3 linked regions of the Nothobranchius furzeri genome follow. The protein of the gene in region 3 interacts with the protein of the main gene of each other region in a biochemical or structural test. Links are inferred from orthologs where the notes say so. Each region holds a gene or a part of one and is shown on either strand. Other genes may lie near its edges.

The links.
Region 1: the proteins of erbin (region 3) and kcna4 interact in a test that uses a peptide from one of them, tested with the Homo sapiens proteins (3 studies listed by BioGRID and IntAct, with this or other methods). The link is inferred for Nothobranchius furzeri from reciprocal best matches to the Homo sapiens genes ERBIN and KCNA4.
Region 2: the proteins of erbin (region 3) and arvcfb interact in a test that uses a peptide from one of them, tested with the Homo sapiens proteins (3 studies listed by BioGRID and IntAct, with this or other methods). The link is inferred for Nothobranchius furzeri from reciprocal best matches to the Homo sapiens genes ERBIN and ARVCF.

What each region holds. Positions count from the first base shown.
Region 1 is NC_091749.1:47,038,525-47,042,279, forward strand, and holds kcna4 (potassium voltage-gated channel subfamily A member 1), read right to left. Parts: upstream 2,514-3,755; 5' UTR 2,326-2,513; coding exon 256-2,325; 3' UTR 109-255; downstream 1-108. UniProt on the Homo sapiens protein: Voltage-gated potassium channel that mediates transmembrane potassium transport in excitable membranes. Forms tetrameric potassium-selective channels through which potassium ions pass in accordance with their electrochemical gradient.
Region 2 is NC_091757.1:31,733,576-31,737,330, forward strand, and holds the start of arvcfb (ARVCF delta catenin family member b), read right to left. Parts: upstream 2,517-3,755; 5' UTR 2,382-2,516; intron 1-2,381. UniProt on the Homo sapiens protein: Contributes to the regulation of alternative splicing of pre-mRNAs.
Region 3 is NC_091746.1:65,230,686-65,234,340, forward strand, and holds part of erbin (erbin), read right to left. Parts: coding exon 3,649-3,655; intron 2,655-3,648; coding exon 2,533-2,654; intron 170-2,532; coding exon 1-169. UniProt on the Homo sapiens protein: Acts as an adapter for the receptor ERBB2, in epithelia. By binding the unphosphorylated 'Tyr-1248' of receptor ERBB2, it may contribute to stabilize this unphosphorylated state.

The sequences.
Region 1 (3,755 bases), on a different chromosome or scaffold from region 3:
TTAGATAAATTATAGATTATGATTGTGTCAAGAGAAAACTTTTGAGCTTGCCAATTAGTTTCGTGTTTATGTGTGAGTGTATGTGTGTGCGTAAATCTGTGTGTGTCTGTGTGCACTCTGACGCGTGCGTAAAGCCTGTGTTTGGGGAGGGTTGGGGAGGGGATTCCGCTGCTGTTGAGCAGAAAGTGTCTCTACAAGATGCTTTTCTTCTTTGGAAAACAAAACAATACCACTAATAATAATAAACTACTGTAATCACACGTCAGTCTGAATGGATTTAGAGTTAGTACTGTTTTTCCTGCTTATGTCTGTGCCGTTTCCTTTACTGGGGCTCTTGTCCAGCCCGCACAGCGACTCCGTCACCCCTTCCTCCATCTCCATGTACTCCGCTTTGTCACCCAGCGATGAGCCAGAGGGTGAACCTTTGAATTTTCTTAGAAAGTCAGGGAAATAAGGGCATCCCGGGGGCATGCTCTCCACCACGGCGGGCGGCTGGTCGTCGTTATCCGTCTCTCGGTGGTAAAAGTAGTTAAAATTGGACACTATGACAGGCACCGGCAGCGCGATGGTTAACACGCCCGCGATCGCGCACAGCGAACCAACTATCTTCCCACCAACAGTGATGGGCTTCATGTCACCGTAGCCAACCGTCGTCATGGTAACCACGGCCCACCAGAACGCGTCGGGGATGCTCGTGAACTGAGAGGTGGGTTCGTCCGCCTCAGCGAAGTACACCGCGCTGGAGAACAGGATTACGCCGATGACCAGGAAGAAGATGAGCAGAGCCAGCTCCCTCATGCTGGCGCGCAGCGTGTGACCCAGGATCTGCAGCCCCTTGGAGTGTCTGGACAGCTTGAAGATGCGGAACACCCGAACCAGGCGGATTATTCTCAGGATGGCGAAGCTCATGGTGTGCTGCCCGTTGCCCTGGTGCTGCGCCAGATCCGTGCCAAGAGTTATGAAGTAAGGCAAAATGGATACAATGTCTATCGTGTTCATAATGTTTTTAAAGAAAGCTGTTTTGCTCGGACTTGCAAAGAAGCGCACTATAATCTCAAAGGAGAACCAGATGATGCAGACCGTCTCCACGATGAAGAACGGGTCGTTGAAGGGTGTGAAGCCGTGGTCCGGCTGAGAAGAGTTGTGTCGTGGCTGCAGGTACTCTTTTTCATCCCTGAACTCTGGCAGCGTCTCCAGGCAGAAAATGACAATAGAGATGACGATGACCAGGACGGACACCACCGCGATGCCCCGGGCAGGACTCGAGCTCTCCGGATACTCGAACAGCAGCCAGATCTGGCGCTTGAACTCGTCCTCCGGCAGAGGCTTTTCCTCCTCTTTCACAAAACCCTCATCTTCCCGAAACTTGAGGATCGCCTCCTCGCCGAGTTCGTAAAACTTCACCTCCTCTGAGAAGATGTCAAACGGCACGTTCACGGGTCTTTTTAAGCGCCCCCCTGACTGGTAGTAGTACAGGATGGCATCGAAGCTCGGCCGGTTTCGATCGAAGAAGTATTCGTTCCTCAGCGGGTCGAAGTACCTGATGCGCTTGTCGGGGTCTCCCAGCAAGGTGTCTGGGAACTGAGTGAGAGTCTTGAGCTGAGTTTCAAACTTCAGCCCCGACACGTTGATGACCACCCGCTCGCAGCAGCCGCACTCGCTGTAAACGTTCTCGTAGCCGGACTGAGGGCGCCGGTCGGTGATCGACACCGTCTCCTCATCATCCATGTTGCACAGAAAACTCGACCTTTTGCTGCCTCGAACCCCCTCTGCCGCCTCCCCTTCTTCCTCCTCCTCTTCCTCCGCTCCCTCGGCCTCCTCCTCCTCCTCCTCTATCATGATGTCCTCCTCGGATCCGAGCAGCGCCAGCTCCGAGTGGCGCAGGTCCCCGCCGAGAGTGCTCCGGTTGCGCCTCCACCGTCCGACGCCGCGCTGCTTTTTCCGCTCTCTGAGAACTCTGTGCTGCTGCTCGGGTTCCTGCTGATGCTGGGAGGAGGAGGAGGAGGGGCGCGAGGCGGCGCTGCTGCTGATGTTCGCGGAGGAGGAGGCGGCGCGAGACTGATGCTGGCGATTGTTAAGGAGATGAGCGCTCGAGGAGGCGGTGGAGGTGGACCCCCCTACACCACCGCCTCCACCACCTCCTCCTCCTCCTCCTCCTCCCTCCGCACCAGAGCATCCTTCGGCCGCGGCCGCTGCAGCCGCCGCTCGCGACTGGGCAGCCTGGCGCTCCCTCTCGCGCTCCCTTTCCCGTGCGCGAGCTTGGGCATATCCGTAAGGCAGGTGACTGTTGCACCCTCCGTCCGCACCCACCATCGCAAATTCCATTTTCAGTCGATCAGCGGCGCAGTAAGCGCCACGACAAGGTGTGGATGCAGAGCAGGGGAGAAAAGTTGCAGTTCGGCGCGCGCAGAGACGCGAGGGCACGAGGCATCAACCGTTCCCGGGAATAAGAGAAAGTGAGAACAACAAACACTCCTCAGAAAGGTCCATATTGGGTAGCTTCTTACATGATAGAAGATAATGGTCGTGGCTCGAGCACCCAAGATTTTATGACATCATTAGAAGCAAAATATAAACATAAGGATAATACAAATCCAAGGGCCAGTGGCATAGCCTGTTACGCAGACGCTCTGTCAAACTTGCAGCGCCGCTTTATGTGTTCATAAATCACCGAGTCAACAAGCGACACCAAAACAGTCTCTCCTCCGTTTCTCTGGTGGCCATCAGGTGGCTCATTCCCCCACGACCGAGGGTTTGCGCTCAAACGCGTCCTTTAATCCTCCGTGGTCACCCGTGGTTGCCATTTTATGAGGTGAGATCTATATTTGTGTTTCATTTGGATGGATCTCCGCTTTATTCTGGAGCTCCGATGAATCCGAATGACTTTTCCTCTCAGAAGCTGCGAGAAAAGGAGAGGATAGGATTTAGACAACAACACGAGAGAAAGGGACGTGTTAATATTAATGATCGCTGTGCATATTACGAAACTTCACACGCTTATTATTATTATTATTATTATTATTATTATTATTATTATTATTATTATTATTATTAATATTAATGCTTGGACGGCATTAACAAAACACGTTTCGCACGAAATCCTCTCACTAAGCACCATTATTTCATCCTGACATCCATACTTACATCCGTAAAGGGCCAAAAGAGCCTCAGCCCTCCTAAAAACACATTTGTTGGAAGATGATGAGGAGGCGAGGATACAGATTTTCTTCTGCGCTCAAACCTTCGTCTTGATTGTGAGGCGTGATAATCACAAATCCGTCTCCGTCTCCAACGGGCGACCATATCCACATCCAGCATATGCATCCGTGCTCTGACGCACTCTGAGGAGGGCACTTTTTCCGGCTGCGTGCATGTCGACGTGTTGTCTCAATTCAACAGGATCTGTTGGCACTTGAGCCTCAATTTCTGCGGCACCGCTTCTGGGGAATCAGGTGTTCACGCAGCGAGTTGGCATCTACGATGGCTCCACGCGACCGCGAGCAGAAGAAAACGAGGGTGGGTAAAAGTTTACCTTGGTTCGGGCGGAAAGGAACGGCCTCAGTCTGAGCATCACACATCTGTCTGTCTGCCGCTTTAGCTCTACCTATCTCCTGTATCCCTCCCATTGTGTGTGTGTGTGTGTGTGTGTGTGTGTGTGTGTGTGTGTGTGTGTGTGTGTGTGTGTGTGTGTGTGTGTGTGTGTGTGTGTCGTGTACTGCAGCGCGCAGGCGGCGCTCGGTCCTCCCCCAGTGGAC
Region 2 (3,755 bases), on a different chromosome or scaffold from region 3:
TCGGGGAATGGGTCCTGACTGTTGTTTGTGCTTATGGGCCAAATATCAGTTCAGAGGTGCCCACCCTTTTTGGAGTCCCTGGGACGAGTGCTAGATAGTGCTCCATCAGGGGACTCCATTGTCCTGCTGGGGGACTTCAATGCTCACGTGGGCAATGACAGCTTGACCTGGAGGGGTGTGATTGGAAGGAACGGCCCGCCTGATCTGAACTTGAGTGGTGTTTCGTTATTGGACTTCTGTGCAAGCCGCAGTTTGGCCATAACGAACACCATGTTAGAACATAAGGATGCCCATCGGTACACTTGGTACCAGGGCAGCCTAGAACGCTGTAATCCACCCGCTTCTTAAAAAAACGAGTTTCGACCCCTCTCTCCATAGCAGCTTCAGACCCGTCTCTAAACTTCCGTTCATCTCCAAGATCTTGGAAAAGGTTGTGGCTAAACAACTCACAGCTGCTCTAGATCAACATAACATCTATGATAGCTTACAGTCAGGTTTTTCTAGTGCTCATTCTACTGAAACAGCTCTTCTTAGGGTCTCTAATGACCTTCTGACTCACAGTGATGCAGGGGACTGTTCTGTTCTGGTCCTGTTGGACCTGACTGCAGCCTTTGACACTGTTGACCATCACCTGCTACTGGAGAGGCTGAGAGACTGGGTAGGCCTATCAGGATCTGCTCTGGAGTGGTTCTCCTCGTATTTCTCTGAGCGCTCCTTTTCTGTGGCCGTCTCCAAGTTTAGGTCCTCCACCACCTCTCTTACCCATGGTGTCCCACAAGGTTCTGTGCTGGGGCTTCTGCTCTTCCTCCTCTATCTGCTTCCTCTTCAGCACATCCTGAGCTCCTATTCACTCTCTCTCTTTCTTAACATTTTTTCTTTTAAATCCCAATCGTCTATTTTTGCTAATTTTAAATATATTTTTAAACATTTTCTAAATGCTTTTTTATGTTTTTACATTTTTTGTTTTTGTGAAGCACCTCATGATTTTTATCTTGAGAGGCGCTATAGAAATGATATTTTCTTCTTCTTCTTCTTCTTCTTCTTCTTCTTCTTCTAAGACAAAAATTCATTTAAAAAAGGCTATTCTTAGAACAGATATGAGGTGTATAGGGTATATCTATACCTTTCACTATTTCAAATTATTGTCTATTATTATTTTTATTATTATTAATAATATTATTATTGCACCAGGTGTGTCAGCTCTACAGAGTTCCCCCCAGTCTGAAGTTGCAAGTGAAGTATTGTGGCCACAGGGCAATAGGGGCTGGGTGGCCTTTTGTTAACCCTGTAAAGGGTCATTTTAAGACATCCTGGCTCAAGAAAAGAATTTTAAAATATGAAACTGGTACTCAGTATACATTTAAAATGCTAATTACTGTTATTTTTCTACATATTAGAATACATGATTGCAGAAATATTGACTGGAACTGGCTTCTTTACTGTCATGACATGTGGACTGATTGTCATACATGAAAACAAGTAAAAAAAGCTCTTAAGAGACTTCTGAATGGCTTTATGTGTGATATATATATATATATATATATATATATATATATATATATATATATATATATATATATATATATATATATATATATATATACAAGGCTAAGTGAATGCAAAATTGTTATGTTCACTGTTAATTGTTGTAATTGCATTCAAGCAGGGTGCAAAAAGATGACCAATAGTTTCATCTGAGATTGTTCAAATATGGCTGTTTTAAAGCTTTGGGGCAAACTCACATGCACATGGGACGAGAATACCACAAGACTATTGGGAAAAACAACTCTATCGATCAAGTCAAATGAATGCAGGCCATTTTCCAAATAAGGTAATTACAGGAGGGAAACCGGAAAAATCTCCATGGTAACTCATTCACTAAGTGGAGGACCAAAACAATGGCAGCCTGATATGATTGGCAGTCCGCTCCATCACATCTCACAGCAAAAGATGTGATGGAGCGGTAAATACTAAAAACGCATTCTATTTCGTTGTTGGCTGCAATGAAACATTTGAATCTCCCGTGGCGTTTCTTTTTAATTAAAACGTAGCAAATAAATCATGGATGTGCTTTCTGATTTTCATCAATTCCTTGTTAAGGAAGCCTGTATTTCATTTGGGATTTTCCATAGCGTTATTTTAAGATCGCACTGATTTTGTTTTAGTCACACCCACCTCCTACTGATGTGCAATATGGCACAACTTGATATTCTAATCGCCCAAAAGAAGAATTAGCCTAGACGAGGAATGCTCTGTGTGTGTGTGTGTGTGTGTGTGTGTGTGTGTGTGTGTGTGTGTGTGTGTGTGTGTGTGTGTGTGTGTGTGTGTGTGTGTGTGTGTGTGTGTGTGTGTGTGTGTGTGTGTGTGTGTGTAACAGCTACCTCCGGCTCTTCTGGTCATCGCTGTCTTCTCAGTGGAAGCGCGTCCGTCCCGTGATGAGCGCCACTCCGAGCCTCAGATAAAGACCGTTATTTCGCGTGGAACGTGGCTGCTGCAGGGACAGTCTACTTTACGAGCGCCAAATATCCAAACACATACGTCAGATTCGCCTTGCTCTCAGACCGAGCACCACGTGCGACAAGTGAGCAAACTTCACAGGTTTCAAAGTTATATTTAAAGCGTGTGTCGTTTAAATTGAGCGTTGAGTTGAATGAAAAGCAGAGCCGCCTTTATCCCCTCTCTCATCAACAAAAGTGCTGGATGCTGTCGGTCCCGGGCGTGTCTCCGCCCCTTATCCAATCCAACTGAATTTATTTAAGAATGGTCTAATTTACCTTAGATTTGTTTACTTCTTACTAAAACAGCTTACTTCCTCTAAAATTGTGAACAAAATACAAGTGTTTATTAAACTGCCTAATGTTTTTAAAAGTGCACAGAATCAATAACGAATTTTAGGTCTAAGAGGATATCACATACATTAGAGCTAAAATTCATTATCGATTCTGTGCACTTTAAAAAACACTAGGCAATTTTATATATGTGTGTGTGTTTGTGTGTGTGTATATCTGTGTGTGTGTGTGTGTGTGTGTGTGTGTGTGTGTGTGTGTGTGTGTGTGTGTGTGTGTGTGGTATTTTAATTTTTTCCCCTAATATTTATTTCAATGACTGCAACACATTTTTTCTCCAAACATTAACAGTGAGCTTTTATTTTTTAGTAGAATAACCGGAAGTGGTTTCTTTTCTTTTTACAACTACTCGGGACTTCCGTGCTTTTCCAGCCAATCACGTCTAAACTCTGAGCCCCTTTGGATGTGCGCTCGTTTCTGTTATTTAATGTCCCGACGTGGGCGGACATAAGGCGAATTTCCAATGAAAAGTCACTGTGTCGTGAAGCAGAGAAACGATTAATACCAAATCGAGGAAACCGAATGTAAACACTTCCTTTTGGTTTGTCAACAACGGGAGTAAAGGGGCGTAGGGTAAGAACAACTAAGAGTGCGTTTCAGTAAGTAATATTCAAACAATATCAATAAAGTAGCTGAAAAGATCATTTGTGTATATAATTTTGTCGCTAAGTTCTGGTAAGAAGCTAAACTTCGTTGTATCTATCGCTTGTAAGTATGCTAACGTTAGCTATTTCATTCATAGGTTAAGTTTTTACTTAAATTATGTTTAATTTTTAACCAAAATTAGTTTTTACAACTATGGACTCAGTTACAAATAATAGACAGCTCAAGGTGACGGGGAGCAGCTCAAATTAGTTCGACTTGGACACATGACATCTTAAGAGGCTACAACCGTTTACCATCGTTCGA
Region 3 (3,655 bases):
TAAGTCCAACATCCTGCACTCCAATGTGGTTCCTCTCGGGTTTGGACTCTTTTCCTGACTCGTCGCTCGTTTCATCGTCCTTGAGCCTGTTAGCCACCGACTGAGCCGTCTTCACCATGTTCTTCAGCTCGTCCGGGTAAGGGGTTGGGTAACGTTTCAGGTTTCCCTCCTGGAAAAGAACAACGCTCAGAAATCTGCTGCCTGGATGACTAGACTTCTGCTTCCTCCATCACCGTTAAATGTGCTTCTGAGTACAAACCTGTGGCCTTACTGAACAAACAGAATTCGGTCCAGAGCCAAAGTCAGGACCCCATCTGGGTCATAAACCTGCCACAACTAGATCTTCCAGCCTTTTCCCCAAACACCTTACCGACAGCTTTAGTTTTCTTATGAATAGGTCTGACTCATTATATAAACATTTTACAGACACTACAGTGACATCACCTTGATTTGGGGCCAACAACTACATCTCTACTTCTGACTGGAGAAGTTTCTGCTTCCTTTTAAAGCTGCAATCAGGAGAGAAATCATAGCGCTGAAACTGGAATGGTGAAAATATAATAATTAGTTTATTAATTCTTCTTGATTTATGAGCTGCATTCCATACCATTTCTCATTTAATTCTTCTACAGCGTCTTTTTATAGGAGTCCGCGGTGTCGCTTCATCTTTGTTCACCTCATATTTATCGGACCGTTCGCACTTTGTTAAAATTAAGTCGCCTAACTCACGCTCCACATCTGTCTCCAGCGGGGTCCCACAAGGCTCTGTCCTGGGCCCTCTGTTTATTATTTACATTCTCCCTCTTGGGGATATTCTTAGGAATCATAACATAACATCACTTTCCACTGTTATGCTGATGACATCCAGCTATATCTATCTTCCTCCCCAAATGTCTGTCCATTACTTCACCGGCCAACTATCTGAATGAGATAAAAACCTGGTTTTCTCATAATATTTTAAAACTAAATAGCAACAAGACAGATATTCTTCTTGTCGGAACTAAATCTATAGATTACTAACTCAGTTTTCCCCTCTTTTCTATTTGACAATAACATCCCATCTCCTTCACAGGTTAAAAGTCTGGGTGTCATCTTGGATAGTAATTTGACTTCACAGCTCACGTCAAAACTGTTGTTTGTTTAGCAACTGCGCATTATCAGTCGGCTACGACCATTTCTTACTCAGACCGATGCCAAAATTTAGTTAATGCATTAGCCACATCCCGTCTTGACTACTGCAGCTCTCTCTTTCTGGTATCTCTCAGAAACTCCTGCATAAACTACAGCTGGTGAAAAACTCAGCGACTTGTTATCACCAAGACTCCGCTTTCTCAACATAATGCACCGGTTCACCCTGAGTTGCATTGGCTCTCAGTTGATTCTCATATCCAATTTAAAATTCTCTTAACATTAAAAGCTCTAAATAAACGTGCACCCCTCTACCTAACAAACATTCTTCTACCTTATACCTCATCGCGCACTCTCCGTTCATCTACCAGCAACTCACTGACTAGACCACAAGTTCGCTTGTCATCTATGGGTTTTCGGTCCTTGGGCTCACAATACAAAGTGTAAATATTTAGAAGGCCAACTAGAAGTGTTCATGTAAGAGGTGTTTCTAAATATGGAAGGGGGTTGAACGGCTTAAGGTGTAATACATCTTTCCACCATTGGAGGAAAAACTCCAGATTTCTACTTTAATAGCCCAAATTTAGGGTCCTTCCCAGTAAAATGTTTTTATTCTATTTTATGTAAAATAATAGACATAAAAATATAGAATTGAGTTATCTAGTTTTAAATCGACATCTGTATAGTAAAAACATTAATATTTGATGTCTCTTCTATTGTAATTTTGTTGGTTAAAAGCTGGGAAACAGACGTCCGCGGTACTGGGACTGTTTAGAGGAAAGAGCTGCTGCTGAGCCGGTCTGAGCTGTAGTCACTCTAACTGGTGTGACGATATCTTGCTACAAATGCATTATGGGGGAGGGAGGGAGTTCCATTTGTGCTGGTAAACAATTAGTAACTTAAGACCCATTTGTATGACCATCAACAACCCCCCCCCGGCATTACCCCACACACCCTTCAACCTGCTCAACCTGTGAAGCAACTTTCTGTTTCTTTTCAGCCGTGACTAAACAACGAGTTACTCTGGAGACAGACTGGGAGTACACCATCAGCGTTGCACCCACTTCCTTTTTGAGAAGCTAAAACACATCCCCGGTAATCCTTTTGTTTGAGTTATCGGTTTAATAAAAGAAAAACCTTCCTGGATTTAAAACTCAATGCTTGTAGTCTGTTAGCGCTGCTGCTTGTATTCTTACCTAAATACATTCATCTGCCTTGTTTCAGCTATTTTTACATTTATTTTAATATTGAACATAATCTGTACATCACGCCAATTATTTTGACTTTCTTCTGTCATTCTGTAACCAATCCATCTTCTTAAATTTAATTCTCTCCTTCTGTTTGACCTCATTATTAGGGCGACATTTAACATACAACACAAACGGTAACATGTGCGTCACTGACCTTTGGGGGCGTTTCCCTCTCATCCTTGTCCTCGTCACAATCGAAGGCCACCTGAGCTCGCTGCTTCCGCTGCTCCTCCCAAAGAGCTGGATTGAAACTTTCAGAGTCGGAGCGAGGAATGACTAAAACCAGACAATAATATAACCCATTGTTGAACTCATTACAGTTCCAGACCATCCAAAAACTAGGCATTCAGTTTCTTTCAGCCTCACATTGGCCACCAGGTGGCGATAAACAGGTTAGAGAAAATTTAAAAGCCTTGACAGAACCTGGAGGAGAAAATACAGCAAAGCTAATAAATAAAATAACCAAGCTGCAAGGCCGCCGTTATTAAGAAAGGGCTTCCAAAATCATCAGTTATGGTGTGACCCTGGCGTGCACAAACAGGCTCTCTCAGGTGTCTCGTATCCTTTAGAGACAGCGTGTGGTTTCCTGTGTTAAAAGCCTCCATTTAGCAACATTTACGCACTTCTGCACAAGATCCGATTTCTCATCTCAGCTTCGCTCTTGCTACCAGAAAACAAACCTATGGAGGATATTGGGATCATCTCTTCATTGCAGCAAGTTTGAAAACAAAAACCCAAAGCCATGCAGCATGAAAAATAAATGCTACAATTGTTAAAAACAAGAATAATAATAAGAGGACATTGTTGACAGGAAGTTGAGCAGATTTCTTCACAGATAATAGCTTCAGTGGTGGTGTGACAGACTCGTTCTTGAGCTCAAACATTCAGATCCTGAACCTAATTACTGCAGAGCTCAGGTGCAACAGGATCAGTGCAAACCGGCCGGTGTAATGGAAACCCAAAGCAAAGTAACAGCTGGGAGCCTGACAACAAGATGGAGACTTGGGTTTCTTCTGCAGCTTCGGGTGACAAAGTCTCTCATTAAAGATGCAGTTAGGGATTCTTGTAGGTCACCTATAAGCTTGTGCTAACAAACGTGGTAACTTCAGTCCTGGAAAAGCTTTAAAACACCAAAACCAAGTCCTTTTAACTGAAACCTGAATTAATTCGCTCGGTGATGCTGATGCTGCAGCCTTCAACATAAGTGATCCTTAATCAGTCAAAACACGAACAAATGTAGAAGAGAAAACAAGTCTCGTAGTGAACTCACAGTCCTC